Linked DNA regions of Saccharomyces cerevisiae S288C. The protein of the gene in region 1 interacts with the protein of each later gene in a pairwise test. Each region holds a gene or a part of one and is shown on either strand. Other genes may lie near its edges.

Evidence for each region.
Region 2: the proteins of ERP5 (region 1) and GIT1 interact in a protein complementation assay, tested with the Saccharomyces cerevisiae proteins (one large-scale study listed by BioGRID).

Annotation. Positions count from the first base shown.
Region 1 is NC_001140.6:330,370-333,420, reverse strand, and holds ERP5 (Erp5p), read right to left. Parts: upstream 1,140-3,051; coding exon 501-1,139; downstream 1-500. Other genes in the region: UBA4 (Uba4p), read right to left, coding at 1-349; CTM1 (cytochrome c lysine N-methyltransferase), read right to left, coding at 1,354-3,051. UniProt on the Saccharomyces cerevisiae protein: Involved in vesicular protein trafficking.
Region 2 is NC_001135.5:296,343-300,403, reverse strand, and holds GIT1 (Git1p), read left to right. Parts: upstream 1-1,798; coding exon 1,799-3,355; downstream 3,356-4,061. UniProt on the Saccharomyces cerevisiae protein: Glycerophosphodiester transporter that mediates uptake of both glycerophosphoinositol (GroPIns) and glycerophosphocholine (GroPCho) as sources of the nutrients inositol and phosphate.

The DNA.
Region 1 (3,051 bases):
TGCTAGAATCATGAAGAACCTGCCTATGCAAATTGGAAGTCTCCACCACATCGTTATCTACTATGCCTATTTGGCCCACGCCAGCGCCCGCTAAGTAGGGCAAGGCGGGACATCCCAAACCTCCAGCACCAACTACCAAAACTTTTGTATTTTTCAACTTGACTTGACCTGCTACACCACCTGTTTCTTCAACAATCATTTGTCTTCCGTAACGTTGGTATTCTTCCAAAGATAATGGGTAGTCGCGGCTGCTGTCTTCTCTCTTGGCAAGCTGCTCTCTTAATTGTGCATTCTCCAATCTTAATGCTTCAAGTTCAGACGTGGTATCCTCGAGATGGTAGTCATTCATTGTTATTGACTTCTATTTACTTCCTTTTGCAGTCAACGGCATCAGCTTAAGTCACTCTTATTACTAAGCTAAGGAATATTTCATATCGAAGAGCTCATTGCACCGATTCGTAATGAGCGATATATAAACTCTATATAACAAACATGGTATATTATACTACCTTCTGTTTGACAAAGAAATTCTTGAGATAGCGTAGCTGGAAGGCACAGGTGCCCAGCAATATGAGAAGTTGGAACACAGACCACGTCATTATCTTGCTGTTAGCTGATTCACTTTGATTTCTGAATTCTGCCTCTTTTTCTCTGATAGCGTCTTGCTCCTTACGAATAGAAGATAGCCTTTGAGTCAACTGGCCTACCCTCCCCTTAAGTGAATTCATATCTTCTTTTTTCTTGCTGTCAAGCGCTTCAACATTGCCAATTTCTAGTTCGATGAATACTCTTAGTGTGGCTGATTTCTTGCTGTAGAATGGAGTGAAGCAAAATCTATGTTCACCTGTGTCTAAAGCTGTAAAAGTAACATCACCTGTGTGTGAGTTTTTTTGATTTAGGACACGATGGTCGTTATCGAATGTTTCATCGACAGTTATTGTCAGACTGGATTCAGGGTCCTCTTCAAACAGACCATCCTTTTCTACATATAGGTCTAAATCCCCAATCAGTAGGTTTCCCCGGGATAAGTGTTCATAGAAGCATTTGGTTTCCCCGGACTTCGCATAAAAATGGACAGCCCCTACAGCTTGGGTAATAGCAAATAATAGGCAAATTCCATGCACTATATTATATTTCATAGTAGCCTGTGAGACACCGAATGCTTGATGTGTTCCCTTAAGTAACTAGTAGTATTACACTACAAAGCTCCTCTTTTTTTGTCTCAAACGGAAAAGAATAAAACGCGAGAAAGAGACAGTGGAAAAACGCGTCAGATTGTTCTTTGTGATGCTTTTAATGTAGAAGAAAGGACAACTAAAAACATTTATATACAAGATCGTAAGTGGTACTCATCTAGTCATCCTGAAAGAAAGCCGCATATTGGCTTACCTCTTCTTGAAAAAAATCAGTAAACCTGCTGGGTGTATAATAAGAAAGATCCTCACAAATTGGGCTTGGCTCCTGCTTATCCGCAGAGATCTCTATGTAATCATCTAAAAACCTTAGAGGGGGGAGCCGTTCTGGTTCGGTGTCCAATGTAACATTCAGATCGCTGAAAAAAATGGTAGAGCTGCTATCGATAGCTTTTGCTAAGTCAGCAATTATTTCCAGTTCCTGCTGGTATAATATGCTTGCAACTTTTGAATCACTGGTAGGCCTAATAATTTTGGATCTACGAAACTCTAAAAATTTACGAAAGAAACTGGTAAACTGGGATTTGGTTTTGGTTGAGTCTTGCATTTCTTCTTGTTTAAGTACAGCGACCGCATCTTCACTGCATATATGTCTTTGCCGTACACAATCGTTTTCTGTATCTTTGTAACGCAATGACCAAGCTAGTGGCGGTAAATTTATGAAATCGTCACCATTTGACTCTTTCTCTTTAATGAGAGAGCGGTAGTTTTCTGCAATCATTAACGCATGTTCGTTGGCCTCGGGATTTATCAGACAATGGATTTTCGTGAACATCAAATGACATGTGGAATCGTACGCCCACCGAGCAATTTTGCCATCATCTATCGATGGAATGAATGGGAGCAAAAGCATATCAAATTCAGGCGTGGTGTCATTGAGAAACCAGCGAGTCTTTCCGTTGTGCTCGTATTTAACTAGTGGTACCACTGGATTTATGTGCATCCATTTGTAAAACAATCTTAAATTTGTAGTTTTATCTGGTCCATCATAGTTTCTTAAAAAGCACCTGTCAAAGGATACAGTCCAAAATTGGGAATTCCCTCTAAAATCTGGGGTGAATCCATATGTTACAAGCATGGAAAATAAATCCTCTGTTGGTGAGTAACTAATGAAAACTTCAATAGGTTTTGTGAGTTCACTTTGGACCGCTTTTGTATCCAATAGAAGTAAAACGTCATTATTTGAAGGGTCGATGTCAAAATAAGCATTTTTTTGGGTGCCTTCATGGTTGGCAAAATCTACAATAGGGACTAAAGTAGAATGGACCGTGAATTCTTCACTTTTGGTATCGGCCCTTTCTGGTATCTCTAAACAACGTGAAATTATTGCAGAATAAAGATGTTTGATATCACTTAAATTCAAGACGTCGTGAAACAGTTCTTTAAATAAATTTAGCGTCTCTCGAAGGCCAAAAATCTGTGGATAATGTCCATAATCAGTAGCTAAGTTTTCAATAGAATCCATGGCTGTTTCTACTTCAATGCTCATTAAAACATTTTCTAAATAATATTGGATATTTTCGGGAATCTCATAACGACTACGAATAGTTTGAAATATCATGAAATAAATTATGAGTAAATTTGTTTCTGTCAGGAACACACTGAAATTCGGATGAGCCATTATTTCACGAAGAGCAATCTTAATTTTGTCATTAGTTCTTTGAAATTCTTCCTTTGAAGAAAATTCGTCCTCATCTCCCAAGAGAGCCAGAAGTGTGTTTATATTAAACGTGCAGCGCTTAGGGATTCGGAGCAATTGGATAGTTTCACTTTTCAATTCATCATTCTTGAACTTCGAAGGTTCTACGAAAAGGCCATATCCACTTTTGGGGTCATCAATGGTGGATGGTTTTAATGA
Region 2 (4,061 bases), on another chromosome or scaffold:
GGAACGTTTACATAAATGCTTGGTAATGCAGTTCATTCTGGGTTAGCGGGCTCATTTTTCAAAAATCCGTCAAATGGGGATATTTGCTGTATGCTAAGTAAAGGAAAAGTTTTCGCCATCAGACGACTTATATGAAAACGCCAACGAATTATCCAGTTTCACGAGTCAAGGCGGTAATTTTGAAATCGAACAAGAAGATGCTCACACGCCTGAACGAAACACATGTCACAGATAACCAAGACTGTCTCTAGCAACATTCCAGACGCATTGCGAGCTCGAAGTTCCGCTCAAAAGGTTGATTGGCAGCAGCACGCATCGAAGACAAGTGGGTAATCTTTTTTACGCATAATAAATGGCTGTGTCTATTTTTTATTAAGAGAAGTAAGCATAAGGATTTTCTCAATATTGTCCATTATCCGAGGCCTCCATTACCTTTGTATGAATATAATCGCCATGAATATAATCGCCATTGTAGTTCGCCAAGTGCCGCCTTTCTTTTCTTCTATCCTCTTATCTTCCGCTTATTGGCACAGGAAACGTAAAAATTAATAATCACCAGTTCCAGTCATTTTGAGTTATAATCGTTTACCCTCCCGACAAAGATAGTAGCTCGATTCAAGAACATGAATTTTACTAATATTCGTACTTTTTTAGTTTCTGCTACTATTAATCGGTTTTGAATCCTGTCTTCATTTTGTGAGGACAAAATTTAGTAGGTGTGTAAAGTGGTATTTAAGATTCGAGTCTGGGTGCACTAAACAATGATAGACTGATCAGTACATCTTCAATTTACTATATATAGATTTTTATTAGTATTTGTTTGCAACAATTCAACGGTTAGTGTATGTAGACTATTGAATATAACGAAGATAAACAAAAAGAAGGGGAGCGAAAAAGAATTGTCAACAAATGTTTATCGATATCTGCGATAAGGTTCTGCAAACAAATGCCGCTTACGAAAAGAATACAAAAATAAGAGAATACAAGGTTATCAGCCGTCGAAAAGCACATGCTATCGTGTCATCATTTCGTGAACTATACTTCTAATGGTGTCTGCACCACAAATACCATATACACATTAGAGCATGACGATGAGTACTTACTTTTCTTGACTGTACAGCCACAGATGTTGCAGTGCGTTTCAAAAGTTCCAGCCCCACGTTTTGCCAAGATAAATTAAAAAAAGAACGTGCATATGAATATGACAGTATTGAGCATAGTCTTTTTGACAGTATCCCCTAAATGCCAGAGTGTCCGCATGATTAATACTTTTCGCGGCGCACGTGCATGACGGTAAAGAAAGCAGAGAATCAAAAGAAGCAGCACGTAGTAATAGCGGCGTAGAATGTTGTACCCAACAGCAATGATGTTAGAATAATAGGGGTTATATGATTGGATCCTACGGTCTTCCGCGTTGCCGTTTGGTGCCACATTTATCTTCATATTCATGAATTTCCTTACTGGACCCCCACCTTAGCATGGATTGATTATATAGGCATATGGGCATTCCGTCCACTGTATCGTAGGATTATTTTCCAACATTAGTTAACTTAGTTCTCTGGTTAACCTAGTTTTTCAATCTGGCTATCTTAATTCTTTGATGAGGGACATCTGCTGGAAGACATCCAGAATGTGTCTGGATGAAGTAGGAAACTCGTGAATATATAAACCCCGATGAATGTAGTTGTAGCAGATGTTCGTTACAGTATTTATTATCTGTTTCTTGTGACTAGTCAACCAGCCGCAGACGTGAGTTGATCTTTTTGCTTATAATCAAAAAAATAGAATAGGATAAAAAATGGAAGACAAAGATATCACATCGGTAAATGAGAAGGAAGTGAACGAGAACACTAATCCTAGAATAATAAAATATGATGCCGAGAGGCGTGCAACCCGTACTGAAACCTCAAAGAAAGATAAATGGAAAAACATAGTTACAATCATTGCGTCCGGTTTTGCTCTGATAAGTGATGGTTACGTAAATGGTTCAATGAGTATGCTAAACAAGGTTTTTGTTATGGAGTACGGTAAGAAAAACTATAGCTCAAAAGTGTCGACTAGAGTTTCCAACGCAGCCCTAGTTGGTATTATTTTTGGCCAATTCTTTATGGGTATCGCTGCTGATTATTATAGTAGAAAATCTTGTATCCTTGTGGCCACTGCTATCTTGGTTATTGGTAGTGCTCTGTGTGCTGCCTCTCACGGTACTACTGTACCTGGCATGTTTTGGATGTTAACAGTTATGAGAGGTTTGGTAGGTATTGGTGTTGGTGCAGAATATCCTACCAGTACATTAAGTGCTAATGAGTCTGCTAATGAATATACCACTACCAAAAGAGGTGGTATCCTGGTTATGGTGACAAATTTGCCACTAGCCTTCGGTGGTCCATTTGCTACGATCATCTTTTTAATCGTCTACAAAATCTGTTCAGGAACAAAACATTTAGAGGCGATCTGGAGGACTGTTTTTGCAATAGGGTGCTTCTGGCCATTGAGTGTGTTCTATTTTAGATGGAAGACTGCTACTACAGAAGTCTATGAAAAAGGTAGAATCAAGAGAAATATACCATATTTCCTAGCATTGAAATTTTATTGGAAAAGGTTACTTGGTACATGTGGTACATGGTTTATGTATGATTTTGTTACCTTCCCAAATGGTATTTTCAGTTCAACAATTATCAGTTCCGTTATCAAGGACCAAAATGATTTAGTAAAAGTGGCAGAGTGGAACTTACTGTTGGGAGTTTTAGCTGTACTGGGTGTACCAATTGGTGCTTATCTGTCCGATCGTATTGGTCGTAAATATACGTTGATGTTTGGTTTCTCTGGGTACATCATCTTTGGTCTAATCATTGGATGTGCGTACGACCAATTGAAAAAAATCACCCCCTTGTTTATTATCTTCTACGCATTCATGAATATGTTAGGTAATGCTGGACCAGGTGATATGCTTGGTGTTATTAGTAGTGAAGCGTCAGCAACCGCTGTTAGAGGTGTTTTCTATGGTTTATCTGCTGTGACTGGTAAAATCGGTTCTGTAGTAGGCGTCGAATGTTTCCAACCCATTAGGGATAATTTGGGTGCAAGATGGACTTTTATTATTGCTGCAATTTGTGGTCTTATTGGTATCATTATTACATATTTCTTTGTTCCACATTCTCTTGAAAGCGATTTAATGAAGCAAGACGTTGAATTTCACAACTATTTGGTATCCAATGGCTGGACTGGTAAGATGGGATTTGATGAGACAGATGAAGAATCAATGGTTAGAACTATTGAAGTTGAAGAGAATGGTACTAATTGTAGTAAGAAAAACGCAGAAATAATTTCAGTCAGACAGGTCGATCAAAGTTGAAATTGGTATCGATTTCTTCCTCCATCCTTTAACCTCAAAATTTCTTTTTCTAAAGCGTTAATTTTAATTTATTATGATGCAGCTTACTCCCAAGAGTGCATGTAATGTTTGAAATATATTCATTGTTCTTGAAACTGAATATTATTATAAAACGATAAAATTGGGAATGGAAATATATGGTATAGCGTAATATTTTTTTTTTAGTTATTCTAAGTAACTTTTACATTTCAAAAGATTTACTAAAAGTTTTGTTTGAGCATTTGTTTGTTTTGTTATAATCCTTAGCTATTTTCGGTGTCTTAATGAGAAGGAAATTTTACGACTACAGAAATGATGCAGTGGCGATATCATATGCAAAAGAAATGTAGGAAGTACTCAGCTCTATTAAAATGGGGTGTGTTAGTGTAAATGATACAGATCTTGAATTGTATATTGTTTTGATTACGTTAAAACTCGTTACCATAGCTAACCTAGAAATAAGTGCTTTGGAACACCATGTTGAAAACCTTTTATTAGTCCAAAAAGTTTCACAATTCTAACATAGGATGGCAGTTTATTAACACTTTTTATATTTGTTTGTGACTTCCCGCTACAAAGTTGTGCTTTGGATCGTTCAATGTTTCGATTAAACTTTCTTTAAAGGTTCCAAAATTGAAATAGCTGCGCTGAAACTTAGTTTCATCAAAAGTACTCACACCTTTGCAAG